7 linked regions of the Danio rerio genome follow. The protein of the gene in region 5 interacts with the protein of the main gene of each other region in a biochemical or structural test. Links are inferred from orthologs where the notes say so. Each region holds a gene or a part of one and is shown on either strand. Other genes may lie near its edges.

What was found.
Region 1: the proteins of rps6ka1 (region 5) and lnx1 interact in a test that uses a peptide from one of them, tested with the Homo sapiens proteins (2 studies listed by BioGRID and IntAct). The link is inferred for Danio rerio from reciprocal best matches to the Homo sapiens genes RPS6KA1 and LNX1.
Region 2: the proteins of rps6ka1 (region 5) and pard3bb interact in a test that uses a peptide from one of them, tested with the Homo sapiens proteins (2 studies listed by BioGRID and IntAct, with this or other methods). The link is inferred for Danio rerio from reciprocal best matches to the Homo sapiens genes RPS6KA1 and PARD3B.
Region 3: the proteins of rps6ka1 (region 5) and Na(+)/H(+) exchange regulatory cofactor NHE-RF2 interact in a test that uses a peptide from one of them, tested with the Homo sapiens proteins (2 studies listed by BioGRID and IntAct). The link is inferred for Danio rerio from reciprocal best matches to the Homo sapiens genes RPS6KA1 and NHERF2.
Region 4: the proteins of rps6ka1 (region 5) and ptpn3 interact in a test that uses a peptide from one of them, tested with the Homo sapiens proteins (2 studies listed by BioGRID and IntAct). The link is inferred for Danio rerio from reciprocal best matches to the Homo sapiens genes RPS6KA1 and PTPN3.
Region 6: the proteins of rps6ka1 (region 5) and limk2 interact in a test that uses a peptide from one of them, tested with the Homo sapiens proteins (2 studies listed by BioGRID and IntAct). The link is inferred for Danio rerio from reciprocal best matches to the Homo sapiens genes RPS6KA1 and LIMK2.
Region 7: the proteins of rps6ka1 (region 5) and mast2 interact in a test that uses a peptide from one of them, tested with the Homo sapiens proteins (2 studies listed by BioGRID and IntAct, with this or other methods). The link is inferred for Danio rerio from reciprocal best matches to the Homo sapiens genes RPS6KA1 and MAST2.

Annotation. Positions count from the first base shown.
Region 1 is NC_133195.1:25,257,969-25,262,206, reverse strand, and holds part of lnx1 (E3 ubiquitin-protein ligase LNX), read right to left. Parts: intron 2,571-4,238; coding exon 2,323-2,570; coding exon of another isoform or gene 2,317-2,322; intron 1-2,316.
Region 2 is NC_133184.1:14,758,055-14,761,478, reverse strand, and holds part of pard3bb (partitioning defective 3 homolog B), read left to right. Parts: intron 1-1,862; coding exon 1,863-2,223; 3' UTR 2,224-3,424. UniProt on the Homo sapiens protein: Putative adapter protein involved in asymmetrical cell division and cell polarization processes. May play a role in the formation of epithelial tight junctions.
Region 3 is NC_133178.1:11,806,314-11,810,551, forward strand, and holds part of Na(+)/H(+) exchange regulatory cofactor NHE-RF2, read left to right. Parts: intron 1-2,612; coding exon 2,613-2,855; intron 2,856-4,238.
Region 4 is NC_133191.1:29,704,363-29,708,600, forward strand, and holds part of ptpn3 (tyrosine-protein phosphatase non-receptor type 3), read left to right. Parts: coding exon 1-137; intron 138-241; coding exon 242-332; intron 333-2,388; coding exon 2,389-2,453; intron 2,454-2,588; coding exon 2,589-2,729; intron 2,730-4,238.
Region 5 is NC_133192.1:28,543,477-28,548,316, reverse strand, and holds the start of rps6ka1 (ribosomal protein S6 kinase alpha-1), read right to left. Parts: upstream 3,165-4,840; 5' UTR 2,675-3,164; coding exon 2,612-2,674; intron 1-2,611. UniProt on the Homo sapiens protein: Serine/threonine-protein kinase that acts downstream of ERK (MAPK1/ERK2 and MAPK3/ERK1) signaling and mediates mitogenic and stress-induced activation of the transcription factors CREB1, ETV1/ER81 and NR4A1/NUR77, regulates translation through RPS6 and EIF4B phosphorylation, and mediates cellular proliferation, survival, and differentiation by modulating mTOR signaling and repressing pro-apoptotic function of BAD and DAPK1.
Region 6 is NC_133180.1:21,551,924-21,556,682, forward strand, and holds the start of limk2 (LIM domain kinase 2), read left to right. Parts: upstream 1-1,719; 5' UTR 1,720-1,897; coding exon 1,898-1,913; intron 1,914-2,529; coding exon 2,530-2,626; intron 2,627-4,759. UniProt on the Homo sapiens protein: Serine/threonine-protein kinase that plays an essential role in the regulation of actin filament dynamics. Acts downstream of several Rho family GTPase signal transduction pathways.
Region 7 is NC_133181.1:36,390,620-36,395,657, forward strand, and holds the start of mast2 (microtubule-associated serine/threonine-protein kinase 2), read right to left. Parts: upstream 2,962-5,038; 5' UTR 2,033-2,961; coding exon 1,952-2,032; intron 1-1,951. UniProt on the Homo sapiens protein: Appears to link the dystrophin/utrophin network with microtubule filaments via the syntrophins. Phosphorylation of DMD or UTRN may modulate their affinities for associated proteins. Functions in a multi-protein complex in spermatid maturation.

The sequences.
Region 1 (4,238 bases), on a different chromosome or scaffold from region 5:
TCTTTATGTTCAATTTAATAACAATGGTTGCATTTTTCAACTCTTTCAGTCATTCAGTCCTGTTGAACAAGGTTTAAAATGGCATTGGGCAGAGTGGATGCAGACAGCTTGTTCAGCTGCAGTGTCACACTGTTTTCAGTCCTAAAGCCAGAACTGCTGGGGCAGCAGCATTTATTGTCCCCGTTCTCCATGCTTCACGTTTTGAGGCAATGTCAGAAACTGAAACCGATGTGTGGAGGTCATAAAGTGTTCACATGGCATTTACACTTTTCTCTTTCTTAATCTTTGTCTTTAAATGCTAAATAATTTATGTGTCTCAGCAGAGTCTTTATAGATGTGCAGTTTGAATTGATTTTTGCATTACAAATGACATTAGTGGTGCAGAGCGCAACTTTGAATAAATGACATTACTCAGAATGCTGTAGCTCTCTCAATAATTGTGAGAAAGGAAAAGACAATTGCATGGAACATCTCCAAAAGAAAATGGTGCTATACTAAATAATAATAATAATGATAATAATAATAATAATAAATCTTAGAATAAAAGCAATTCAAAAACATACAGTTGAAGTCAGAATTATTAGCCCCCCTGAATTATTAGTCCCCCTGTTTATTTTTTCCCCAATTTCTGTTTAACGGAGAGAAGATTTTTTTCAACACATTTCTAAACATAATAGTTTTAATAACTAATTTCTAATAATTAGTTTATTTTATCTTTGCCATGATGACAGTAAGTAAAATTTTACTAAATATTTTTCAAGACACTTCTATACAGCTTAAAGTGACATTTAAAGACCTAACTAGGTTAATTAGGTTAACTAGGCAGATTAGGGTAATTAGGCAAGTTATTATATAATGATGGTTTGTTCTACAGACAATCAAGAGAAAATATAGCTTAAAGGGGCTAATATTGACCTTAAAATGTTTTTTGTTTTTTTTACTACTTTCATTCTAGCCAAAATACAGACTTTTTTCCAAAATAAAAAATATCAGACATACTGTGAAAATTTCCTTACTCTGTTAAACATCATTTGGGAAATATTTAAAAAAGAAAAAAAAAATCTAAAGGTGGCTAATAATTCTGACTTCAACTATATATTTAAAAATTTTTAAATGCAAAATGTTGAATTTAGTGTGTGTGTGTATGTGTGTGTGTGTGTGTGTGTGTGTGTGTGTGTGTGTGTGTGTGTGTGCGTGTGTGTGTGTGTGTTTGTGTGTGTGTGTGTGTGTGTGTGTGTGTGTGTGTGTGTGTGTGTGTGTGTGTGTGTGTGTGTGTGTGTGTGTGTGTGTGTATATGAATGGATGGATGGAAATGACAGAGGAGGAAATGACAATTCTACAGTTTATTGTTAAAAAATTAAAGATAGCTTCACCGATTAGCTTTGAATTGATACTAGCGTTTCATGTATACAAAACACTCTTATTTACCTTAATTTTGTTTGGTTTTTAAAAACACCTTTGAAGGTACAGCATGTTTGGGAATGACTAAATTAATGTATTTCCTTATCAAGCAATATTTATCTTGATTTTTCTTCAAGTGTTGTTGATAAAAATTCCCTCAATCTTGAACATGTGTTTTGATGTCACTAATCATTTTCATAGAAACCACCTAAACAATCTTTCACACAAACCTTTTTAAGCGACATTACAAGTTGGAAATGACACTGAAACTGTGCGACAGCTATGTTAAGTATAAAATTTTATTGATTATAGTCTTACGTTAAAAACTATAAAATATTTAACCTATTTTACAAGTACTTAATTAAGATACATTAAAAGTTACCAGCTACATAATATTTTAAAATGTTATTAATATTGTTAAAGTATAATACTCTGAGTGTGCGACAAGGCGAAAACAGTGATTTTGACACCTAAAAAGAGGTTGAATAATATGAAAAAAATATAGCTAGTAAATTTTTTTAAATTAAGTTTTATTATAAGTTTGACAAAATTCTATATATTTTTGGATATATGATCAAAGGACATAAAAGTGCCCGTAGTTAAAGAATTACCCATATACATTAAAAACAATGTGTTTGCTGCTTGGTCAAACAACTTATTTAAAATGAGCTAAAACAACACAATTCTTGAGATTTTTTGGGGACAGCTTAATTATTTTATATTCAGTCCACTTAAATGTGTTAATCTAACTTAATCGATTTGTGTTGGGACAACATAAATGCATTGTGTGGAACTCTGCATTCTTTATAGTGTAGGATACATAAAACCTTTTGCATGCACACACACACAAACACATATACACACAACACTTTTAAGATATAAACAAATACACACAAATACACTGTGTGCACTCACACTCACTCTTCCGGGAACCGCTGCGTGCTGCCAGGCTGGTGGTGCTCCCGGATTGGCTGTTATCCTCCACACTGGGCTCATAGGCGGGGTTAACCAGGCCAGGCTCATCTGATAGGAGGGCGATGGCTGAGGAGGGGCAACCCTCGCCGGGCAGTGCTGCCAGAGTGAGCTCTGAGGTGCTGTCTGTGCAGTCGCCCTCCTGAGAGCGACGCTTTCTCTCTGCAGAGAGTCCATAGTGTGACGCTCCTTTACACCTGTGAGAACACACACACACACAATGACAACTGGGTCAGCAAGATACATTACCATACAATGAAAATGTCATCATCCATGTGCCAATTAGGAAAGCAAAGTCACGTAGAGGAGACTTAGTAATCACATCGTCGCTAGGGTGTGTATTTGGACTTGAACTGAATTTTGTGCAATGTGTAGCTGATATATTATGTTGTGCCATCATAGAGGAGACCAGAGAACAAATACGTTCGCCACAGGAAGCAAACAAACACTAAGAGTAGAATATCAAAGGCCTCACCTTTGAAATGAGATTTCTTGCCTTACAAAACAAATCATGCACTAAAGCTATCTCTTCATAACATTACTGTACTCATAAACACTCACATGCAGATGTTAGTGCGGATTATATAGTGGAGCGCATCCAGAAATACATTTGCGGCATACATTTCTACTTGAAAGCATTCTTTAAATGTCACTATGTTTGCATTGACTAGCCAGTAAATGCAACTAGGCTAACTCTCATATACAAGGTCATAGGTTTGATCCACTCTGCATCCCTGAACTTTACTCTTTCCTAACTAGTGACAGGCAATTTGTCTGGAAAAATAGTGAATAGACAATCAGAATCTGTTGTGTGATGTGATCCGGTCAAAAATGCTTATTGTTTTATTTTGGACCAGTGAGCTTTTAGTGTGAGCGGTGCTAGATGGCTGGTGTTGAAGGAAGATGGATGGATGGATGGATGAATGGATGGATGGATGGATGGATGGATGGATGGATGGATGATGGATGGATGGATGGGTGGACGGACGGACGGATGGACGGACAGACAGACAGATAAATAGATAGATAGATAGATAGATAGCTAGATAGATAGATAGATAGATAGATAGATAGATAGATAGATAGATAGATAGATAGATAGATAGATAGATAGATAGATAGATAGATAGATAGATGGATGGATGGATGGATGGATGGACGGATAGAATGACGGATGGATGGACGGATGGATAGATAGATAGATAGATAGATAGATAGATAGATATATAGATATATAGATAGATAGATAGATAGATAGATAGATAGATAGATAGATAGATAGATAGATAGATAGATAGATAGATAGATAGATAGGTAGATAGATAGGTAATATCAATAAAAAAGAAAACAATAAATTCACCTCAAACATTTGTAAAGTGAATGATGGAACTATTATGGCGGCCACTGGAGCACAGGCCTCTCTGAGGGCCGGCTGTGAGGAGATAAATCAATGGACGGACATATACAGGCAAAAAAATGCATACGGCACTGGGAGAGATGCCATGCCTTGGGGACCATCTTTAAAATAAAGCATTTTGTCTCAGTATTCATGCCTGTCTTCACCCTCATAGCTGCCATAAGAGAAAAAAAGAGCGAGAGAAAGGAGACGTGTGGCCGAGGGTCTGACACTGGCTGTATATCTCACTTACTTCTGACCACTGATTGGAGTGCCTCAGGTGTGCAAACCTAATAACCGCCCTAAAAGAACAACGGCTGCTTTCACTCGGCTTCTGTTAAGGTGCTGATGAAAGACTTCAAATCCTGTTGGCAGCCTAAAGAAAGGCAATTACCCCTCGCTGGTCGATTGGCAGTGTGTCGGGACAAAATTACAGCTTAGGAGTTTTCTGTGATGACAACTACCACTC
Region 2 (3,424 bases), on a different chromosome or scaffold from region 5:
AAACATTATCTTCTGCTGACTGCCAAACAAAAGCAGATAATTGTTGTGCAATAAGATATAGCACTATGCTCCAAAAATGTGGAATTGTGTCCCGAATAAAAAATAAAATAAAATTATCCCCCAACTTTCATGTTTTTAAAAAGCGTGTTAAGAGGCACATTTTTAAAATTGCATATAAATGAAACAGTATGTGAAGTGTAGGCATTTTATGTATATATTGTGTAAGAGTATGTATGCATGTACAGTATGTGCATGTACATGCATATGTAAGGTCTATTGAAAAGTGCTATACAAATAAATTTTTAATAATAAAATAATAATATGTTTTATTTATTATTATTATTATTATTATTATTATTATTAATAGTAATAATAATAATATTATTATTATTATTATTATTATTATTATTAACTAAACATAGAACATGCCCGGGTTGTGCAGAATTCCTTCAGAAAAAGAACAACCTGATAGGAGAAATTTATGGATTTGTGTCGAATGTTAGGATCATTGATCCATGACCCATCTATAAAAAGCATATTTTAAAGTATCAATTCAAATGGAAATTTAAAGTATAAATTGCAGAAGTGAATGAATCAAGGCCGTAGACTCGCTCTTGACATTGGTGGGGATTGCGTGGAAAATGTTTTTGCGCTTTTAAAAACATGAATAAAGTACTTAATAGTAAAAAATAAACACTTAATAATACAAAAAACAATTTAATTAATCATGTTTCATGCTGCAAAATTCAATTTACATTATTTTACTGCAATCTGGCATTGAGGATGTATGAATGTATAGAAATTTAGAGACACTAATTTGTGTGACACTATTTAACTTTTTTATCCCGATTAATTTTCGATGAATTGCTCTGCCTTGATTAAAAGTAGGGTTGGGTACCGAAACCGGTATGTACCGGATCAAATCAGCAAATGAATTTCGGTGCCTAATTTCGATGCCACTGGTGCTGTGATAAGGACAAAAGAAGCATCAAGGGGTGCATCAAAGGCACACATAGGTAAGCGTTGTCACACCATCTCTAAACATTTATTTCTAAACAACTTTGAGGAGTACAGACAGGCGATGTCAGGCGTTTGTTCTTGTTGCTTAGGGAACGGACGCACACAACGCACATAGTACATTGCATTCGGTGAGCGAGTGCGACTCCCTTCAGATTAACACCCATGATTGCGTTCATCAAATAACCATTCTAAAGCGTATTTTACAAGCAATGATTCTGACACAGCTACATGAAGCAGATGCCGTGTCAACAAGCTTGGACCCTCCTCTGGCCCCCCTAAATTTAGACGGGCATGTTTGTGTCAAAATGCCACAGAGAAGCGAGATCAGCCATCAGTGGCTGACTGCGGAGATATGACTGAGGTCTCTCTCTGTGCGCTCTAGGTGTCACGTGCATTCGCTCTCTCGGGCACTCTGTCCCTCTGCTTTCACGGTCAGTTCGGTGCTGTGCGCATTAGCCTCCAAAAGTATTAATTCACGGACCGTTTCGGCACCGGTGCTGTCTTAAAAGTATTGATTTAGCACCAGTATCGAAATAAAAATTAAAAGTATTGTAGTCAACTCATAGCAAACTTGACTTTAACCCTTTGTTGATATGTGATCCAAATATTTGTAGCTTGAAACTGAAGGAAAATGACCGGTTTGTGCTGCGTTTCAAATGGAAATCCCAGTATAGATGCCATAATGACCCATTGTTTATTTGTCCGCCAGCCTCCGCACTGGTCATGTGACTGAAAACTAATAATTGGGCAGTGAAAATAAATGGGTTGTTAGAACAGTTGACCAGTGTTACCATCTCCTTCCTTCCCCTAACTATATTTCCTTCACTTTCACTCTCTTGCAGAAGAGCACCAGCTGACCCTAATGAGTATCCTGTGCAGCAGTGGTCAGCACACAGAGAACCAGCACAATACCCAAACCCCCAGTCAGGTTACCACCCCGGCTACCCTCCTCCTCCCAGAGAGGCCTACCCTCGCCCGTTGGATCCTCGTCAAGGCGACGCCGGCTTCTACCACCCTCTTCCACAGCAGAGAGGCCCACTTCGACAGGATGTCCCCCCATCTCCCACCATACCCATCAGAGGCCCTCGATTTGACACCATGAGCCGCGGCGGCTACCGAAACACCAGCCCAGAGCGCTATGCTTACGGAGACCAACGGCACTCCGACCCAAGACAGAAGAGTCCCATGACGGCAGCTGTTTAACACAATCATTCCTTTTCCACTGTGTGTACGAAGTTTCTGGAACAAACACCAAACACAGCCACCATTATCTACAGGTGTTTACATGCTTTTACTAACAGTTTTTCCTTAATAGCCAAAGCTGCGTCTTAGGGTTTTGACGCAGCTTTCGTTCATATGTAACTCAGACGGTCCCTCCATATGTTCTTGTGTCTGTGTAGGATGAATGTTGGCTCTCAGATGATTGGCAGATATAAACCCATTCCAGAATCACTTTTATCAGCACAATCATTACATCTGTTATTTCAAACTTTCAAACGTGTACTAATGTGTGTCTGGTTGTGTATAAATCTTTAAAGGGATAGATCACTTAACAATGAACGTTTTTTGCTGGTAATTTACTCACTCTCAAACCATTTTAAAAAGATAGTTCATCTACAATTGAAATTTTACTCATTAGTTGCTCATCCTATAACACTTTACAATAACAGTACATGAATAATGATGTGTTAATATGTAAACTAAGCATTATTTTACTATAAACTAATTATGTTAATGCATGAGCTAATCATTAACTATCGTTAACGACAGCATGATTCACTTCATGAGTGAATAACGGCTACCTTAACTAATTGTTAGTACACGATTGTTTGTGATTTAATTGATTAAATACCACATTAGTTTAAGCTTAATTTAACCATCATGAATTCATGATATGCTAATATATTATTATATCATGACTTAACTTGGAGGGGCACATCATCATTAACCCATTCCTAACTACTCATGAACTCATTCCCGTCCAACTGGTGCGTTTACACTGAATAACAATAGAAAAGTGTTCTGTCAGCATCAACATGAACAGATTAAACACAGAAGTTCATGAGTAGTTAAGGATGAGTTAATGGTGATGTGCCCCTCAAGTAAAGTCATGACGTAATGATACATTAACAGCTCATGAGTTCATGTTGGTTATATTTAGCTTAATCTTTAACACATTAAGCTTAACACATTAATTAACAATATGCACTAACAAGTAATGAAGGTAGCATTATTTACTCATGACCTCTTGTGACTCATTTTGTAGTTAAATTTAGTTCTTGATTAGCGCATACATCAACTCATCATTATTTATAATTAAGTAATGTTTAGTTTATATATTAATACATTATTATTCATGTACTATTATTGTAAAGTGTTAATGCTCATCCTTATGTGGTTCTTT
Region 3 (4,238 bases), on a different chromosome or scaffold from region 5:
GGCGCTCACTGACAGTATAGAGTCCCCTTCACTTTATTAGGGCAATGGGACGCACACAAACTGCAGGTTGAGTCTGGCCCTGCTGGCCTCACTAACACCCTTTCCAACAGCAACCTAGTTTTCCCATGTGGTCTTGCATCCAGGCTCAGCCCTGCTTAGCTTCAGTAATGAACTGATCTTGGGCCGCAGGGTGATATGGCTGTGCATGGTTGTTGCTAGGCCTATTTTACGGGGGCTGTAGCCCCCCTATATTTCTATTCAGCCCCCCTTAAAGTTTTGCGATTAGCTCATGCACTATACACCAAATTATCGCCTCAGTCCCCTTTAAATTTGAAATGAAAACGGCGGCAGAATTTGGCTCCTCCCCATATTTTGTTTTTCATTTGATCAGCAAATCACAGCTGTGGACATCGAGAGAACGAGGTGTATTTATTGATAAATTGTTATAATATCTGCTTATCTGCAGTTCTTTGATATAGACAACCTTGTATGGCCTGTATCCCAATGTCATGGAGGAGCAGTGGGGTTTTCTCTGCTTTCATCTCCAGAAAGGATTAAACAGTGACAGAAGCACTGAGAGAATGTACTCGTTTTAACTGTCACTGGGTCACTGACAGAGACAGAAACATCAAGTGTTGTCTAGTATTAAAAACATACTTCTTATTTATTATTATCATTCAGATCGTGAAATATGTGAATTTTGTGATTTGTAATTCGTGAAATGTGATTTTAAGACATTGATTTTAACATATAAAGCGGTTCATGGTTCGGCTCCAGTCTACGCTCTGCCTTGAGTCTTACGCTGTTTCAGCCTCGCTGCAAACTCAGCACCATGGGAGGTAGGCCATTCTCTTTCCGTGCTCCCAAACTGTGGAATGCTCTTCCCACTAACATTAGGAGTGCCGGATCATTTGATGCTTTTAAAAAGCTACTTAAAACTCATCTTTTTAGGTCTGTTTTTAATTTGTGATATCTTTTATTCTTACTGTGTTTTTTTATTGCATTTTTTTAATTGTTTACTTGCTTTGTTGTTTTTACTTTCTTGTAAGCGCTTTGGGTTTTAGAAAAGCATGTTATAAATAAAATGTATTATTATTATTATTATTATTATTATTATTATTATTATTATTATTATTATTATAACTATTATTATTATTATTATTATTATTATTATTATTATTATTATTATTATTATTATTAATAATTAGCCTGTAAGTTTAAAAATATATATTTATAAATGTGTCATTTAATTAGAAAAGTGGCAGTTTACTTATTTAATACATGGAAACAAAAAATGAATATAGAAGGGTTTTTTTACTACAGTAAACAGGGGGGTTGAGCCTATTTGGCATATTCAGAACTCAAATGGTTACTGTATGTCTGTCTATGTAATACAGTGGAGTACTAGCATACAAAAACACATTTCTACTCATTTATTCATTTTCTTTTGAGCTTTGTCCCATTATTAATCTGGGGACAGTGGAATGAACCGCCAACTTATCCAGCATATGTTTTACGCAGTGGATGCCCTTCCAGCTGAAACCCATCACTGGGAAACACATTTCTACTTTAAAGAGGAAAAAAAAATACAAAAGAAAAATACCAAACAAGTTCATAACATAGTTGATCAAGAGTGCCTTTCAGACAGAGGTTCAGCAGCATTTGTTCTTTTTAAAAGGGAAATACTTAGCTAATATGATGCTTAGATTTACATTAGACAAATACAGTTTTTGTAAACGTATTGTTATTTATTTATTATAAATAAATAAATAAATGTATTTATAAATTTATTTATTTATGTATTTATTTATTTTTTATTAATTAATATTTATTAAATTTATTTATTTATTTATTTATGTATTTATTTATTTATTTATTTATTTATTTATTTATTTATTTATGTATTTGTACATAACATTAATTAATAAATTAATTTATTAATACATTTATGTATTTATTTATTTTTAATTAATTAATTAATTATTAAATTTATTTATTATGCATGTATGTATGTTTGTATTTATTTATTAATTAATTAATTTATTTATTTATTCATTCATTTATTAATTCATTGTTCTGTCATTTGTTTTCAGTGTAAAATTATTACTTATTACTAGGGCCAGACAGAATCTGCGGACGTTTTTTGCTATTTCTGCGGAGAATTTTGGTAAAAATCTGCAGATTTCTGCGGAATTATTTTGGGAGTATCCAGCGGAGTATCATAACTAAAGCCTTAATATATGAAATAAAAAGTAATAATTTACTGAACAAAAACTGAATAAATGTAGATTTACACATTTACTCAAGTAAATAAACTGAATTAATGATGGGCTAGAAATCTGCGGAAAATCTGCGGAATTCTGCACGCGCAGATTCTGTGTGGGGCTACTTATTACTTACAACTAGTAGTGTTTTGAAATTAATGAATGTATAATCTAGACAACTGTGATTATTCCTCAGACTATACATGTACAATCAAAAACTGTAATCGTTGCATCCCTATAATACACTTTAGTATGGTTCAAAAACACTTTACTATTAAATAATATAGTATTTCTTAATGTGGGGACCCATAAGCAGTTTTTCTAAATGTGCATTTCTCTTGTCTTCAGGTGGTGCAGCGGATTAAAGCTGTGGAACATGAGACCAGACTGCTGGTGGTTGACAGAGAGACTGATGAGTATTTCCGCAGTCTTCGTCTCACCTGCACTGAGGAAATGGCCATCCGGACGAGCCCCACAGCCACGACCCCTTCACCCTCACCCTCCACCAGTAAACAGGGCAATGGATCAGTGTCCAAACGGAGCGAGATCTCCAAACCCATCAGGAAACCTCCGTCACGAGCTCTCAAGAAGGTGCGGAATCCTCTACATACACTCTTAGAAAAATGATAAAGATTCTATTTTAGAATCCATGTTCCAAATCTGTCATTCCATTTCCATTCTTTGGAGTTTTAAAAATGTTCTTTACAGAATGTACTTTTCGCTGAAAGTTCTTTGGACAACCAAGGATGGTTCTTCTATGACTATAGCTATGTTTTTATCCACCTTATTTTTATGCACATCAGTTAAGGTTAAGGTTAGGGCTGGGGTTAGGACATACATTTTGAAAATACGCTCAAAACACTAATGCTCTTTAATGAGTAGGAAACTTTTTACTCAATATAAATAAAATAGCAAGTCATTTATTCTATAAGGAAAAAAGTCTTCAGTGGCTTCTAATATATCACAGCAAATTCCGTTTTTCTTTTTGATATTTACCGCCACTTTATCAGGTAATTATGATTTAGTTCACTTTGAGTCACTGGATGTAAACGGTGTTAAATTTGCAAATGATTTACTTGATGTTCCAGTTTGGGCACAAGTTTAATTCACATCTTTAGATGGAAACATAGCTAATGTTATGTAAACATGCTTTTGGAACATCATTAAAGTGGTCTGTTTTGCCGTCGTCTGATATTAGCTTTCAAGTAGTGTGCAATGTAGCTGTTTTTCTATATGAAGAAGCAATTCTGAACTGCTGAAATGAGTCCTCAGCAACACACATATGTAGATTTTTATAGTTTTGCATAAAGCCAGTCGTCATAAAGTTGGTGAATGTCCCTTAAACTCTGCAGCTGTAGATGATGTCTGGAAGAGTTTAGTTTGTCTTGTGTTGAGAAGGATGCTGTTTTCTGTGCCTGCATCACATCTAAATGATAGGAATTTGGTTTGGTTGATATGGTAAAACCAACACCATCATTACTGTTTGTAAAACTGTTTGTAAAACTTTATTCATGCCAAAATTAAAAGTCTTTTGAAGCAGTGGTTCCCAACCTGTTTTTGCCTGAGACCCCCTTTTCCCCCCTGAAAATATTGTAAGCCCCTCTCCACATTTAATGATATAATCGCTCATATAAGTTTGCAGTAATGATGATAAAAATGTTGTTTTCAAACAAATGGTATGTTTATTACTATATGTAGATATTTTTATGCATTAAGATAAGCCTAATGTTTTCCCAGTGAAGGGTTGCAGCTGGAAGGGCATCCGCTGCGTAAAACATGTGCTGGATAAGTTGGCGGTTCATTCCGCTGTGGCGACCCCGAATTAATAAAGGAACTGAGCCAAAAAGAAAATAAATAAAAGAATGAATGAATAATAGACTAATGTAAAATATAAAAGCAAAACATCGGTATCACCACGCACCGGTCAACGCTTGACAATTTTACTGCGTGGGGTTGGGAGTGTTTCGTAGGTTG
Region 4 (4,238 bases), on a different chromosome or scaffold from region 5:
CCACACTACAGCTCGGTCTCACGCTTCCGGGTGAAATATCCCCACTGTCCACTCATCCATCTGGAGAGACACTAGAGGAGTCCATGGCCCGTCTGGAAAAGGGTTTGGTCACTGGAACGCTGCTTCTGCACTTTGAGGTTGGGCCACATGATTGTTTTACAGCATGTGTCATTTGGCATGTGTGTGTGTAATGCTGATAATTGTCATCAGCGCATGTGTGTGTGTGTTTTGCTGCTTACAGAAGTTGTACAGGAAGAAAGAAGGAATGTTAATGTCTTGCGCAAAGCAGTCTGAGAATATGGACAAGAATCGGTACAAAGATGTGTTACCATGTAAGTTGTATTGCTTTTCATGTCCAGGAAAATTAAGTTATACGGAAGACACATTATAGCATTATTGTGTTATTTGGTTATTATATATTAGTTATATCATTTTTTTTAATTAAAATCTGGAGGTTTCATTAAGTGGGATTGTTTTACTTAAAAATGTAGACAAACAATAGCTAGGGCATTTTTTAAGTTGTAGTTCAGACTGTAAAGCATGGCACTAACAGTGATGTCAGTTTCCGGGGAATGCATGATTTGGTAAAGTGTTAATGCAGTAATGCTGTCTTCTTGTGATATCAAAATAATCATAAATGGTAGTTGAAAATAGACATCAATGGCTCATATTTATAAGTGGAAAACTCAACATCATGTTGATGCACAGTGTGCCTCAGTTATGCTTTTTTTTTTACAGTTTATATAGGGATAGTTGACCCGAAAATAAAAAATACCTTCAAGTGTGTCCAAACAAGTTTGTTTTTCTGTTAAGCACTAAGGAGGCTTGTAATAAAGTAATTAGATGGCTTTTTAGCCACCAAAAGATGGAGGCTGATGAATGAAGAAGAACTGATGAATGTTTAAAGCACTTTGATAAAGAAAACAAGCGGGTGATGGCAGCCTTTCATGAATGACAAACTGATAGCAAAACAAAACATACCATGTTACAGGCCTGGTCCTCTCTTCTTCCTCTCTCATCACTTTCCCGTTTATTCTTCCACAGTCCTCTGGTAGACTCAAGACCGGTGTGGCAAATAGGTGACGCTTGTTAACACTCACACCACCGGCCTCATGCTGCAGTCACACTAGAGTTTGTGCATGCCCAATTCTGTTGTACGGCCCTGCGAAAAGTGGCGGGATTAAACAAAATGATCAGACATTAAGAAAGCGAGCGATTGGTCCATGTTTTAAATTTCTGTCTAGAGAGGTCATGTTTTGGTCTTTGATTGGTCTCACGCAATCATGTGATGTGATTTCGCAGTTCAGAGTTCACCAAGCTTGAACTTTCCAAAATGCGAAACTTGTCTCTTTCGTGTGCGTATAAATGGAAGTCTATAAGGAGAAAAGTGCAGCCTGACCGCAGCTTCACTCTGCTCTCACGGGTCTTGGCATTTATTGTTTCTCATGACATTTATTGTTATTAATGTGATTTCTTACGGAATAAAAAAATCAATTAGTTATTTTACTTTTAAAAACCATAAGTAAACCGTTGCCTTAAAAGTGACAAGTTGACTTTAGTTTTAGGAAAGTGGGTAAACCCATTGATTCTTTTAAGTTGAATAAACTTAATTTTTATAATTAAACACATAGTTTATTTACTTAATCATTTTAAGGCAACAGGTTTATTCTCTTTTTTGGGTAAAATCAACTAATAACTTAATAAAAAGGTTTACTCACTTTTTTAAAAAATAAAGTCAATGAATCACTGTTTACTGTGTGTGATTCTGTGTAGATCAGTTACAGAAGTTAAAGTGGAATTGTTGCTGAAGTGACTGATTGTTTTAAGGGTGGTAGTGTAACTTTATTATGTACTTTATTCTTACATGCTGCATGAAAGGTATTATAAGGGCACTTAAAATTTTATTAGCATTTCCAACAAAATTTGAATCGCTTTTTATTGCTGTTCATGCACAGTATATATAGTCATCTAAATAATAATTAATAATTTATGCACATTTTATGTATTTTTTAAGTAAAACTAGCATTAGTTTGGTTTGATCTTCAGGCTATATAAGGATATCCCTAAGACACTGTCATGAATAGTCCTGGTGTCATAAACAACATTTTAAAGTTCTAAATGAGCCTTCGAAATAACAATTGAAAAACTGAAAACATTTGTTCAGGAGGTTTGTACTTTACAACAACTGCATGACTGATGAGATTGAACAAACCTAGCACACTTGAGTAGATTAGGCCTAAGGTCAAACATATTATTTTATTATTATGCGTATAAGCTCCCGATGGGGAATGAGGCGTAATGCTCTTTAAAACTAGTCTTCAGAGGTGTTTTCACATAATCCGCAAATCCCTCTTCCTCATTCTCTGCCCGTTCATTCTTTTCTTTCAGATGACATCACCAGGGTGGTGCTGCAGGAGGAGGGGGACGATTACATCAATGCTAGTCACGTGAAGGTATGTCTCATCCCAGTCATTCTTTTCATTGCTTCACTTTAGTGTTGAATTGAAAAGTTTTGATTCATGATTCTGGGTGACTGACTGAAGACTTGACGATTTGTGTTTCTCTGTGTGTGTGCGTGCATGTGTCAGACTGAGCCAGCAGGTTGTGTTTTGCAGTACATAGCAGCTCAGGGTCCACTGCCGCACACCTGTACACACTTCTGGAGGAGCGTGTGGGAGCAGGACGTCAATGTCATCATAATGCTGACTACGCTGACAGAGAGAGGACGGGTACTTCAGCACATGCTCCCCTCATATGAAACAAAAACAACCAAAGAGTTCCATCAAGTGCTGCAGTATTAATAAACATGAACATACTTCAAGGATTTAGTTGACCTCAAAAAATAATAATTCTATCATCTTCTACTCGCTCCCATGTTGTTCCAATCCCATAAGAAGTTTGTTCATCCTTAAAACACAAATGAAGATATTTTTAATCAAATCTCAGCCATTTCTCTTCCTCCATTGCAAGGTCTCTGGCTTTCACAATGTTATGAATAAATAAATAAAACAGAATTTTAATCCATTTAGGCTTTAAATAACATTTGAACATTGATCTGCAGATTTGGTCATGCAAGCTAAAGCATGCTTGCTTGATGCGCAAGAACCAATGTGGTTTATTTTTGCGTGTCATGTGACGCATTTAAGTTTTCGCAAGAACCAATGAGCTTAATTTTTTTGAAGGTTCCATGAAATTAAACAAGTTTTTGAGATATTAGTTCGGGGTGACTCAGTGGCACAGTGGGTAGTGCTGTCCCCTCACAGCTAAAAGGTCGCTGGTTCGAGCCTCGACTGGATCAGTTGGCGTTTCTGTGTGAAGTTTGCATGTTCTCCCTGTGTTCACGTAAGTTTCCTCTGGGTGCTCCTGTTTCCCCCACAGTCCAAAGACATGCGCTATAGGTGAATTGGGTAGGCTAAATTGTCCGTAGTGTATGAGTGTGAATGATTGTGTGTGGATGTTTCCCAGAGATGGGTTGCAGCTGGAGGGCATCCACTGTGTAAAACATATGCTGGATAAGTTGGCGGTTTGTTCTGCTGTGGCGACCTAAGATTATTAAAGGGAGTAAGCCGAAAAGAAAATGAATGAATGAATGATATTAGTATCAGTATTGTTAGTTTTTAGGATATCTATTCATTATTCTTCAATGCGCAAGTGCGCTCGGTTTTGCGATTGTTTTAGAACTTTCAATTCAGTTGCCAATGGGAGAAATGACTAGGAATAATAAACGGAAACAGTCAAACTACTTACTCTACAAACAAGTGTTTGCATGACTATACAGACAAAATAGAATAATTTAATAAGAAAATATCAGTTTGCAAGACGAGCTGTTGTTTACATCTAAAAATGAATGGAAGGGAATGAGACCGGACGTCTTGAGCCAAAAAGATTCAAATGGCTGCGCCCACTCGTATGTGGAGAATAAGGTGAATAAGCTAGTGTGCTCCGAAACAGTGACAATATTCATGTTTAGTAGATAAAAAATTGATATCAACATTAGGGATGTCCAATCAGGTTTTTTTTGCCTCCGATTAATTTGATTTTGAGTATTCCGAAACTCGATCCGATACTTCTATAATACATAAAAAAATAATAAAAAAAGAGCGAAGAAACAGATCCAAGATGTTCCTTATTTTTTATTTAATTCAATTTATTTTAACATTCAACAACTCTGTTAACAAACATAGCACTGTTTGAGGTAGCTTGAACAATCAAGTAATAAATAACAAACTCTTCACTTT
Region 5 (4,840 bases):
CGGATGTATGGGTTGAGTATAGAGAGGATCGGCTCTTTAATGTTTATTGCCACCCTTTATAGACAGATAAAAAATATGGGAGAAATAGAAAAATACCTTTATGAGATGATAGCGGAATAGAATTGTAAAATACAGGAGCATACCGGGGAAAAAAGGAAAAAGATATGATCTAAATGGATTAGCTATTTTTTTGATGGCACTTCATTTTTCAGTTTCACATTAAATCTTCTGACCAAGCAAATGCTCTGTAGTTTCTTACATGTTTCCCCCTTCAAGACGCTTCAGATTTGCGTTAAATTTGATGCACTTGAGCTCACACAATCACACTGGCAGAGTATTAATAAAAATAAAAAGCTATTGGCTGCTTTTTAAAAGGGGAGGAGCTTTCCTGCCCTGTTTTCAAGTTTCATTTGAAATTGTCACACACCAAAAATGCACATTTCAAAGCACTTCACAGGACCTTTAAACCAAGCTAACTTAATGTGTACTGATACTTCATGATTCTGTAAGCATGAAAATATATACACCAAAATGCTGCAAGTAATGTCAGATTATCAAAACAAACATATCAAAACTAGCAATAGATCTATTTATTTGTAAAGAGTCATGTTTTGACTGCAAAATTGCACTTATGTTGAATATAATTTGATGCAAATGGCAAAATGCCCTTTTTAAAATAATATCAGACAGAATAGGCAGGTGTGCATTTTACATACATTTACATTTTGACGACACATTTTTTCTTCAATCTAGTAACTACACACTTTGTGTGTCTGGGGTCCTTTGAGCACTAGCAGCATGTGAAAAAACTAAAACCTGTCTTTTTCAGACAAATTAAGTGGTGTGACTTCCTGTGCTTAGTCCTTTGTTCAGCGAGTCTATATCAGGAAGAAGCACTTTAAGATCTTGTGGTAGGCTACTTGCAGAAATGCTGTAGCAAGATTCTAATCAGTAGAGCTTTCCTGCTAAACTTATATTAGATTTTTTTCTGATCAGTTCTGCCTCTCGTTTTCATCTGCAGAAGTAATTTCGTTCAAATGACTGAGAAAACTGAGAATGTTTCTGCAGCAAACCTGCTGCCAGTTGATTGGTGGTGAACTCATTGCGCAGGTGAGAGAGCAGAAGGCAAGGGAAAATTAAAGTTAATTTAATCTCAAAATTGCACAGATTACACGAACAGGAACAAAAGAGTAAAATACGCCTCTTATTGTGATTCTCAAATGAGATCAACATTAGTCTGAGAGCAAGATAAGAAATTAAATCTTCTTCCTTCCATTCTCATTAATCACTCACAGAACATATTGTCTCTGCTTGCCTTGTAGTTGCAAACTTGGCCTGCAGCTGAATTGGAAGAGGAAATTCCAGAGCTGTACAATGCAAACGTCTTGACAGTATTCTGTGATACAAAACTCGAACTGACTAGGAGTTTAGCTCTCAGAGATGTCAGCACTGTGGTCTGTCACCAAAAGATACAAATCATCAAACTAGCATATTTGAACACATATCGCAATTTAAATCTTTTAAAGGAAAAAACACCTAATTTTTTTATAACCAAGCATGACAATTTATACTGCAGATACGAGTGGATGCTATTTGATTTTGACAATGTAAATATTAAGTATTTATATGCCAATAATTTTATAACATGTTTAACATAAAAAAACACTAAAAATTGTGTTTTTCTTATGCACCACAACTAAAGTTCAGAAATACAAAAGAGCTCGATAACTCGAGTGTTGTTTCCCAATGCTTCTTCTGACCTTAAACTGCTGTATTATTTATTTGATTTTATGACATTTGACATGTACCCCAGAGAAGAGAACTGCACAGTGAAAAACTGGAAAACAGCTGCTTCACTGAGCACAACAAGAAAACAATATTCTTCCGCTGGAGTTTAAAGATGACACAACTGCAGAGTCATTCCCTAAAATTGGTTCATTTTTCCACGCTGAAAATGTGATTTTATGTGATTTTCTGATTTAGAAAAAAGGTTATGAATCACTGAAGTGGTGGCATGTTTTTGGATTATACTTTCATGCCACATTATTTAAAATCTAGATATAATTGACTTTTTTCCAAAGCAGCTGTGAAATAGCATGAACATGATTCTTAAAAAAAATTATGGTTTTCATCAAAAAAGAAACTTGAAAACATGGTTGATATTCACACTGCTATCATTACAAGGCTACGACTGACATCCAAATGAAGAAGGTTTATGGGTCTGGTGTGTGTGTGTGTGTGTGTGTGTGTGTGAGTGTGAGTGTGAGTGTGTTTAAGTTAGAAAAAGATTATTTGGTTAAAGTCATCGATTATGAAGGTCACCTAGGCACTTTTTTATGAAACGACCCTCCAGTATTAGGAAACATCTGACCTGCACTACTTGAGCGCTGCGCGTCCTGCTGGCGCTCCAAAAGAACAGAATAAAGACCCTGACCATCACACCTGCACAACTCTTTAGTTATTTTGCACAAAGTATCACATTTCTAGACGACTGCTGTATTTCTCATGAACTCCTAAAGTCAAACACGTGGACCTCTGGCACGGATAGAGCAACCTAAAGGGCGCACATTAAATCAGTTAATTTTAGTGCTGTGATTTCACCACCTCTCACCTCCGTCTCCAACTGCACCAGCTCCATTTTGGGCCATGGCTCTGCCAGTTGAGCAAGAGGCATTGTGCACGCTCCTTCTGTTTGTCTCAAGTCCTCAAATTTGAATGGGAATTTCTTCCGAACCCGTGTATTTCCTGCTGGCACGACCTGATATGTCCCTTTGGGTCAGGAGCAAACGGGCGACTTTCCTTGCTTACAATCCGCGCAGGACGCGCATAATCACTTCGTAGAAAAAGAAAGATCAAAGCTGTTATTCCCGTTTAAATGACGTTGACGGATTCTCCTCTCAGTCCGGCTAGGAAGAGGAGTTGCACAGCCCCGTTCCTGGAAATGAACAAATCTCTCAGACACGCGCAGGTGGACTCGGCTTTCAGAAGAACATGCACTGCGCGTCTGCGCCGATCAATCGCGTCTCCTCCGAGGAAATCCAATAAGATGTGTTAATGCAATACGGTGGAAAGTGTCTTCTGACACTGACTGTCGGTGTGCACACAGACGCTGCAAAGAGGAGCCGATGCTGTCAGTGTGTTCTCCTCTGAACCGAATCCACAGTGTAAAAGCTTCAGCCGATCATTGGTTTGAAGACAGTTCTCGGCCAGCCCCTTTTCCAAACACTCTGCTTACGCCCCTCTCTGGACCTGTGCTGTTACTGCAAGGCAAACTCTAAAGCTGCACTGACAAGGGCTGAAACTTCTAGCTCAAATTTACAGGTTGTTATATTCAAACAAACTCTCATGTAACTAATAAAAAATCCTCTTCCAAACATACAGTAGTTTAATTATTTTGCGGTCTCGGCGTGGATTTATCGGGAAATTGCGTTCAAACCTCATACACACGTGCGTGTCACGTCACCTCACACAAATAAAAGTATGTCCTGCTGTCCATAGCTTAAAATTTAAATATATTTGTGTCAAAGTTAAAGAGGCCAGATGAAAACACTTCTTAAACTCCTGGAGATCAATACTTTTTGTTTTTAAAAATTCCATTTGTGTCTGAAAGTACATTTCACAGAGAAGACTCACAACAAAAACAATTATCTTCCTCAAAACTCATACAATTTTGTTTTGTTTTTTAAAGTTAGAAGGACAAAAGTAACAGAAAAAGATACATTTAGATGGAATTTTGGGGGTTTCAGCAAGAACTGATAAATCAATCATGTTCACATGACATTAATTCGTCAGAATTATGTGCGAATTTAAAGTATTGGCTATGTCACAAAAATTCAGATTGAATTACAGACTTTGTGTTTTGTGTTTCAGTCCACACTCTCATAAATTTGTCAACCAACTTAATCAATTTGTTAAAGTCTAATCAAAAAAGTCATCAATTCATAAACTGGGTTCTGAAATAAAAAAATCTAGCAGTTTGATTATTACACGTTTTTCAGGTGTAAGATAACATTTGGATGTTTTTTATCACTTAAACAACAACACCACCACCAATTTCCTATAAAATATCTTTTTAACTGCATTTGACTGATATGAAAGCATATCATCCCAGGGCATTTCTCAGAAAAAAAAAAAAACTTCTCAACAAAAGAGAGATTGATGTAACAAAGTATTCCCCATTACTGGCACAAGTAGCCTATCTCCTTTTCCATCATGCTAGGAATGCTGTTCGATGTTCTCAATTGTAATTGTCTTGTAGGCTTGCCCATTTTGTGGCGAGGCAGTGATATGCCAATACCTCTTGACTTTTTATTCTCTCAAAGGGAGCAGAGAAGAGCAACTGTTGCTTCTCGCTGAGAGTGGTTACCACTGGCAACCACAGACCATCTGCCAGCGTGCCGGTGAATCTGTTGCCAGAGTAAAACAGAGTATGAATGGCCGCCTTTATGAGATGGTAGTGGGAGGATATGGAGTGTGCATTGGTAGAGGACCATGTTTCATTGAGTCAAATGATGGGACAAAGTACAAACTGATTTTAATGGCACTCAAATACACTAATGATAATGTAGGGCTTTGTCAGGCTAAACTGTGACATTTAAAAAAAGGCATCAAGACTAAGACCTGCAAGTGTGGATATAAAGACAATTATAAATCCTTCTCACAAAAACAAATCAAGCATTGCAAACACACTTGATGTGTTTGTGTGTGTGTGTGTGTGTGTGTGTGTGTGTGTGTGTGTGTGTGTGTGTGTGTGTGTGTGTGTGTGTGTGTGTGTGTGTGTGTGTGTGTGTGTTTGTGCAGTAGGATGTGGAAACTGCTATTCTCTGCACTAATGCTCCAC
Region 6 (4,759 bases), on a different chromosome or scaffold from region 5:
AGCAGAATGAACCGCCAAGTAATTCAGCATATGTTTATTTATTTATATATGGGGATGGTAGGGAGCCGATTCTTTCCTTCTAATGGCATAATACGTTAATGTCTGTCACAAAAAGAGAGAGGAGACTAATAAAAACATCAGTAATGCACTTGCAAACACACGCACACGCACACGCACACACACACACACACACACACACACACACACACGCATGCATACACCACTCACACACACACATACACATCTAGATTATTATAATAGAATCATTGTACAAATTATTTTTATTTTTTGTTACTGTTTTATCCAAAAATTTTGATTGTTAAATGTACAGTTTTTTTTCTGATCTATTATTTCTTTTTATTGATTTGTATAAATAATATTATTTGTTGAATAATAATATGATTTATTGAATAATATGGTATATTATTTATATATTTTTAATTATTATAAATAAATATAATATTGTTTTTTTATTTATTTATTTTTCGCTACTGCTACTATTCAGGGGAGCGCTGCATGGGCACAAAGTAATTTTTATTTAAGTTATTTATAAAGTTATTTTTTTATTTTAAAAAAATCTGTGAAAGTATATGTGTAAAATCTTATATTATTGTTTTGAAAGATGTAAAAAACACACAGTGACTGCTAGCCAGTTTTGAGGAAAACATGACACAGTGGGGTTTGTTGTAACAGGGTGTTACAATTAAGCCACACACTGTTGGACACCAATTAAACTAAATATTTTTTTTTTGAATTTTGAGTGAAATATTGAGAACTTTTTAAATAAAAATGCTTTTAATAGAAAATATTTAAGAAAAAATATGTTATTGTTAATAATGCAAATAAATTCACAGCATCATAATGGATAAATGGATAATATTGCAAATAGATTCAAATTTATTTATCGGATAAACAAATAAATAAATAAATAAATGTGCTATTCAGGATGAAAAAGAAATGAGCAATTTACTGAGGAAATATAGCTACTATTTAAAGTAAACTGAATTAAAATTAATTGTGTGAAATTTGCCTTTAAATGCATGTGCTACAACAACAACTAACTAAATAGTAACATTTTTACTCCTGGCACTTTTGGCAATATTGCACAGAAACCACAGGTCCGGCGACCATACAACCAGTGCTCATTTGTAGAAGAGGCTTATGTGTTGCGGGTTAAAAAAAATGGTTTGTCTAACCCTTTTACTTTGTTCATTATTTGACCAAAACCAAAAAGTGTGACTTTGTGCCCTGCTCTACCCTACTCTGTTTACTGTGATTTTTAGTGTATGTTACCTTTTTATGTAAAGTTTATAAATGCTTTGGCAATACATTTGTAACATTTGTCATGCCAATAAAGCAAGTATTGCATTCAATTGAGAGAGAGAGAGAGAGAGAGAGAGAGAGAGAGAGAGAGAGAGAGAGAGAGAGAGAGAGAGAGAGAGAGAGAGATCAGTGCTTTTGTGTTTGTGCTATGAACAATGCACTAACAATAAGCTTGACCACATGATGAAACAAAGAAAATCGCTGCACAAGTTTCGCTCTATCGGCGATAGGTGTCGCTGCGGTATCACTGGACGGGAACCGGTTTTGTCGCGCAGTCTGGTTGTAAACGCTCCTGTTTCAGGTGATTCTGTTTGATCCCTTCCGGTCTCCGTACATTTCTATCTCATGACGTCATTTGGTCGGACAAGAGAGAGAGAGAGAGCCAGAAACTTTGAACTTGCCTGGAAAATTGACGAAACCCTGTTTCTCCGTTAAATCAGAGCTGGATTTAGGCTGCGGTTCTTACACATGGATCAGAAACGGAGCATCGTTGATGTGCACCGTGTGAACGTCAGGCTTTTCAGGACCAGCATGTGAGCTTGAACAAATATAATTAAATCAGATCGGGGAGGACATGGATGAACGAGAAGGTGAGGATTCCGTGAACAAGCTTTGTTTTTGTGCACAGAAAATACTCGCTTGACCTTCTTTTATAGCTTGCTCTTTGACTCTTTCTGTTGGGTTTGTCACAGATCCGACGCAACGTGTAGGAATTTGGTGGTGCGATCGCGTGTTTTTCGTGTGTTGTTGACGTTTGTTGATAAACAATGTTAGAATAGATGTCAGAAGAATTAATAAAAATATACATCGCGTCGTTTCTAAGCATTAAAGATTTGTCTTAGTAATCGTGTAGAACCATTTTGTATGTTGTTTTTGTTCTCGATTGTAAACTGATAACGTTAGCTAATATGGGTTCCAGTTTTAACCTGTTTTGTCGTAGTAGAAGTAATGATGATGATAGTAATCGATCTGGTGTATTTATATGTATTAATAATGGTAAAATGTTGAAAAAATAAAACAAGATACAGCAGTCACTTAAATGGATCAACAATGCGAAATTACATAATGCAAAACTTAAGTTAGTGTTTTAAAACACCGAATGTACTACCTGGAATTGAAAGTAATATGTGCGGTTTTTCTATAAATAAAGCATGTTCTGTGTATGAGGCATCAACTCTGAATGTTGCTCTGATGTTTGATTGACAGATGTGACGGAGCGCGCGTGCACGGGCTGTGGCGGGAGGATTCAGGACGCTTTTCATGTGAAGGTTCTTCAAGACGCCTGGCACAACTCATGCTTTCAGTGGGTCTTAACATCTACTCTATTTAAACTGAACCAGACTGGTTGGAATTAGCCAAGATAAAATGTGTTCAAGTGATGTTACTGGTGTTGCCAACTATTCTTAAATACTTACCAAGTTAGAAAAAGCATAAAAAACAAAGTCTTCAGGTGGTTTGTCTTCTAGTCTTGTCTGTAGGTTAGATTTTGAAGCTGGATGTTCTAGCTGTCTGAGGCTGCCTAAACCAGCTAGTCTTTACATTTTATGTTTTCAGCCACTGAACTGTTTCAGTTACTCGAAGCTCAACCATGTGAAATGATTTCAGATAAGCAAGTGAGACAAAGATGAATTATTTTTAGCTTTTCTTTCTGAGAAAATACGCAGACTATTGCATTGAGATGACAGCAATCTGCATTTTGTCTTTGACTTCTACACAAAGCAGGTGTTCAATTCTAAAACCCTCAGCTTAGATGATAGAGGTAAAGTTGGTTTTATATTCACACATTCAAACTTTCCCCTTAGTAATATCATTTCTTAAAAGTATTATTTGCAAACTCCAAACAGTGAAATCATATTAGCAGCCAATGATTATCAAAGTACAACATTGTTCACAGTCAAATAAACAGTGTTGATGTTGTTTTCAAGTCCTACTTGCATGCTAAGTCCGATCGAATATTCAAAATAACATGGTAAATATATTCGTTTTTAATGAACGAATGTGTGAATATAAAACCAACTTCATCTCTATGCTTAGATGTCCTGATTATGTAAATACACAAGAGAAATGTTTGTGTAAATATAAACATTGAAATCATAATGTGTAAATGGGGCAATGAAAGGATTTGTTATCTCTTGTTTCCTAGCTCTCCTAAAAGTAATAGTTCACCAACAAATGAAGAATTGCTTAAAATGTACTTTAGCCATACAAAGCGTTGGTGATGTTTTTATTTTCTACACAATAAAAGTAAAAATATTCATAGCTGAAAGGTGGTATTTGGTGATTCATACAGTGCAGGTCACTGACCACTGACACTTTGAGACTGAGTAAAACACAAAACAAAAAACACATCTAGCCAAACAGAATTAATAATTGTTGCCCATAAGTTATTTTAAAGTAAAACCATTGGTCTGCACAACAAACCGAACGCAAAATTGGATAACCTGAGAGTGAGTAAACAAACAAGTGGGATAGTTCATCCAAAAATGAAAAAGTCTGAATGAAAATTATTTACTTATACACTTGACTTTATGGCCCAAACCAGCAGTTTTTTTGTTCTGTTGAACACAAAAGAAGATCATTTAAAGAATGTTGTAAACCATTGACAAACATAGGAAAAACAAATACATTGGAAGTCAGTGGTTATAGGCAAAGGTGCGAATTATACATAAACGATCGGTGGGTAGGTGAAGTTTTCATAATGTTCAGTAATATGCTTGAGTGAACCAAAGTTATCTATTATTTCAATTTCATCTAACTTATTAATCAAACTTCTGTTTTCAGTGTTTAAGGCATATTGAGTGGTTCTCAATGACATTTGTGATATTAAATAAACAGTGACTGGTTTGCTTTCCTGCTCCTATTAATGGATGACCATGAAAGACTGCACATATTTTTTATTTTACTATTTAATTTCCATGCAAGCAAGCGTTAATAAAATACACACCATGCATCAAGTTTTATGAACACCTACTGTACAAACGTCTATTTTACAAGAAACATGTTTAGTGAACACTTACACTGTCTGTTGGTGCTCTAGAGTTGCCGGTTTCAAACCGCTAAATTCATATTTTTAGCCCCATTATAGGGGTGTTCAAATGTATATTTACATTATCTATTTTTAATTAGTAGAATTTATTTAAGATACAGATCAGACAGGGTATCTGCAGGGTCTTAAATGTCTTAAATTTCAAAAACAAAATGTTAGGCCTTAAGTAGTATTAAATTCACTGAAAAATTATCTTGTATGTCTTAAATAATTTTAAACGGGTCTTCATTTTCCCTTGTTTATAAAGCTACCCAATCGTTCCAACAGGCATCAAAATGCCAACAATACATCAATAAGTTTTAGCAAAACTATTTACAGTTGAAGTCAGAATTATTAGCCCCCTGAATTATTAGCCCCCCTGTTTATTTTTCCCTCCTAATTTCTGTTTAA
Region 7 (5,038 bases), on a different chromosome or scaffold from region 5:
AGGATGGCATTTCTCCCTCTGCAGTAACGTTACAGCGCCTCTGGCCACGGCCTTTACCTGCGCAGTGTGGGATGCGCAATAACGAACTTTTGTGATCTCACAGGGGGCGGAAGTATTTTTTGTAGTCCCCAAAATTCGTTAATTGTAGGCGTTGCTAAGCTAACTCTGTACAAATCAAGGTCTCCCTTTGCATTAAACTTTGAATATTTTACATTTAGAGATGCTGTTTATGTTCACACAGCTACATTACACATCAACTGAAGTTTAAAATATAATATCGTAGTGGACCACCCCTTTAAATGGGATTTCTTCTTCAAGCATTATTGTCAAACTTATGTTGTAAATCAGTTGCTTGCTGCAGGGTGGTGATTATCCAGAAACAAAACTATTTTAACAAATCTCACACTTTTTGGGGTCAAAGTTTAAACGGGTTTTCAAGCACTAAAACCATAAAATGAAAAGAATGCACATTCTAAAGTAATAGGCTATTAGTAATTGTATAACATTATTCATCAATTTTTTACAACAAGTTAAATTACATGGGATTTATTTATATACGTTTATTCATTCATTTTCTTGTCGCCTTAGTCCCTTTATTAATCCGGGGTCGCCACAGTGGAATGAACCACCAACTTATCCAGCTAATTTTTACGCAGCGGATGCCCTTCCAGCTGCAACCCATTTCTGGGAAACATCCACACACACACACTCATACACTATGGACAATTTAGCCTACCCAATTCACCTGTACCGCATGTCTTTGGACTGTGGGGGAAACCGGAGCACCCGGAGAAAACCCACGCGAAGGCAGGGAGAACATGCAAACTCCACACAGAAACGTCAACTGAGCCGAGGTTGGAACCAGCGACCCTCTTGCTGTGAGGCGACAGCACTACCTACTGCACCACTGCCTCGCCTTATTTATATATAGATCGATTTTCAACATAATTATATTAATCACCAACAATGCTTTATCAAGAAAACATTTCAAATTAATGTCAACATAAATACATAAATTACATAAATCAACATAAAGTACATAAATCTGAATGGCTATGCACAAAATGTGTGATCCTAATTAAACTTTTCATTCACAATTTTAACTCAAATTTCTTTACATAAACAGAAACGGGTTTAAACGGGTTTTTAAAAGAGACAAGTATAAGGAAATAAAAACAAATAATAAAAGTGATTAAAACAGATCAAACGTGTTTTAAAAGGTTATAAAAGAATGAAAAACAAAAGAAAGACATGATAGAGCGATCTGTCGGACAAAGCACAGGGCTCATTCAGTACAGGCACAGCTAAACAGATGTGTTTTCAGTCTTGGTTTGAATGTGCCTAATGTTGGAGCACATCTGAAACACACTATATGTGTGTATAAGCAATAGGAGTACTCCATTCCTTTTATTTCTTTCAGTGTCACTCTGTCCTCTCGCAATGAATGATAACACAAGACTCAATAACAAAAACCAAGGAGTCAATAAAACTCTTCCAAAACAAACATAACGTGGGTAATAAACTTGAGCAAGTCCTTTAAACCTATTCAGAAGTGCACAAATCTAATAATGCACAAAGCAAAAAAACATCTAAAACCTGATGTCCACTCTGATGTGCTGGAGTTTGTATTGACTTCAATTATAGCCCATTATAAAAAATTCATTTAATTATTTAAGCTAAATAAATACGTCAGGGATTACACACACACGCAAAATAGCATATAAACTGGCTCAGCATGCATTCACACATCAATTGTCTTTTTTCTGCAAGGGAAGCTTCCTGTCAATATTCATGACCAAGAAGCCCTGATGCCTCATGGATGCACTGAAATCGAGCACTGCGCTCATTCTGCAGGGCAGCTGCGTCACATGCACCACTGCATGTGTACTGTTGTTTACTTTGCATTCTTGAAATAAATACACAAGGTAAATGTCAAAACGCAATCACTCACCTCGTCTTTTCCTTCAGTGCTGCTGTCCTGCTGCTCAGATGTGCAGAGTTTCCTTTTGTTTTTGCTCTCGGTTTTCTTCATTCTGATGGATGGCGGCTGAGCGCTACTCTAATGTTAATATTTTGTTGAATCCAGTGGTCAGTGCATTCAGATACTGAAACAAATCTCGCCCTGGTACATGGTGAGCAAACCTCTCCTCAACTTTGGTCCACAAATACAGAATAAATGATGAACGCAGGTTTGCTTTTGTGTTGCACTCTCGACCTTAAGTTACAACCCCATCTGCCATGACAGCCAGTCTGTTTTTCTTCTCTTTTTCCGTCAAATACTGCTTTGTTTTCAGTTTTATGTAAACTATGCGGTTTTAGCGCCGAAAATCACCCGGCGGAACACGCTAGCTCGCTAGCAGTTTGTTGATAAAGTTTGACAACATCCGCAAAATAAACGCCTTTTGAGTTTACCAAAATTGAGAAAGTGATCGTTTAAAAGCAATGTGTAAATGAACTCGCCGGGCTCGAGTCTGTCACCGTGAGAGTGTAACGACAGGTTATCATTATGCTGAATAATGCCGCGTTTCCAACGTGTTTGCTGCCGTTTGAAGTCTTCCAGCGGATTGTCTCGTCTTGGTGAACCAATACTTTAGCATTCCAGTTATAACAAAACAAAGAGCTAACGTATAAAAACAGAAAATTTCCTCATCCACTAAACTGCCAGCAGACTGGAGATACACTTCGCCGCAGAGCCACAACACAGCGTTTAACTGTCCATCATGTCTCGTGAGTCTAGAGAGCGAGCTCTGTTTTGACGCGGATCATTATATCTAGCGGTCGCGAAGCTCCGCGTTTCTCCTTCAGTCTCGCTTTTCTTCAGACGTCAGCCCGGCCGGGTGCGGGGGAAACGGCTCGGTGCCGAAAACAATCGCTAATCAGACCCGGTGTTCTGTCATGCCGTCGCTTTTCTCCGAGGAGGAAATCTAGTAGCTTCCTGAAGCTCGCATCAAGTGAACGACCGCCGGTGAGCGCCAAATGCTGATCTAAGTTCAGTCTGTGTAGCAGAGTCTCAGAGAGGAGTCTTGCATATGCACTCGAGAGCTGATCTGAGTTCAGTGTGTAGGAGCAGATTCTAACTAAGTGGGGGAGTCTTGCATTGCATATACACCGGAGGGCTGATCTGGGAACGTTGTTTCCTCCAATGGCTTAGAAGGGGCAAGTGAAAAGATCGCTTTTTGGAGAAATTCGACTTTAGTTTGTTTTTGCTGCCATCTGCTGAGACTAAAGTAACCCTTCCTGCTTAAAACAATGTATAGATCCAAGCTCTCTGTACTATTCCTATTCTATATATTTGAGAAAAATAGAGGCTCAGCATATAATAATAAAACATTTAAAAATATATTATGAAATAAAAATATATAAATAAGTAATGCAAAATATTAAAGATTAATAAAAAATAAACATGAAAAAAGTAAAACTAATATTTTAATGAATACATAAATTAATACAATAGTATGCATAAGGGAAAAAAAACAGAAAAAAAACATATTCTAAATAATAATTTGTTCAGAAATTAAACTTTAACAACAGGGAAATTTAGCACTTAAACTTACTTTTCTTTTTAAATGCTTTTTTCTGTGGTTTGTGTGTGTGTGTGTGTGTGTGTGTACATATAAATAGTCCCTTTATTAATCTGGGGTCACCACAGCGGAATGAACCGCCAACTTATCCAACAAGTTTTTACGCAGCGGATGCCCTTCCAGCCGCAACCCATCTTTGGGAAACATCCACACACACATTCACACACACACACACACACACACACACACACACACACACACACACACACACACAGGACAATTTAGCCTACCCAATTCACCTGTACCGCATGTCTTTGGACTGTGGGGGAAACCGGAGCACCCGGAGGAAACCCACGCGAGCGCAGGGAGAACATGCAAACTCCACACAGAAACGCCAACTGAGCCGAGACTCGAATCAGCGACCCAGCGACCTTCTTGCTGTGAGGCGACAGCACTACCTACTGCGCCACTGCTTCGCCTATATATATATATATATATATATATATATATATATATATATATATATATATATATATATATATATATATATATATAATTAATGGAGAGATTTTTTTCAACACATTTCTAAACTTAATAGTTTTACTAACTCATTTCTAATAGCTGATTTATTTTATCTTTGCCATGATGACAGTACAATATTTTACTAGATATTTTTAAGAAACTAGTATTCAGCTTAAAGTGACATTTAAAGGCTTAACTAGGTTAATTAGGCAGGTTAGGGTAATTCAATTCAATTCATGTTTATTTTTAAAGTGCTTTTCACAATGAAGATTGTGTCAAAGCAGCTTAACATAGTTCTAGTAAAGTCCAGATTTCACAGTTGAAGTTCAGTTAACTAGTTCATGCGGTTTATGTTTCACTGCTGAAAATTAAAACTGAAGAGCAAACTCACCGAAGTGCAGCTCCACAAGTCCAAGCAAGCCACTGGTGACAGAAGTGAGGGAAAAAAAGAAAAACTTCACCCATTGACAAAGTGAAGGAAAAAAAAACCTAGAGAGGAACCAGGCTCTGTTGTACATAACCATAATTTTTATGGCCAAACTTGAAGAGCTGCAGTCTAGGACACTGGACACACCAGATTCTAGAGAAGCTGGAGGTCAATCGTGGAGAAGGTGCAGGTGTGAGTAGGTCGTCGTTGGGGAGTCAGGCTGGCCCAATCGAACAATGCGGTGACTGTGCATCTGTCACAGTGCTCTTTCAGGAATCAGTCTCATGCATTCCATTCCTCAATAACCATCACCATCAAGTCAGGATACTGCCTGGTCCATGATTATGGATATCTTGGGATCATCTCTTCACAGTTCTTGGATCGCATTAATGACACTGCATAGTCTCTAGGGACTTTAGAATGAGTATCCCCAGGTGGAAATAGAGAATAAACAAAATAATTATCGTAGCTGCTGTTCATAGTGTATTTAAACGAGATGCAACAATGAAAATAGCAGTTATTTAAACAAACATAGAAACAAACATGTAAAGCAGATGAGAGTTTTTAA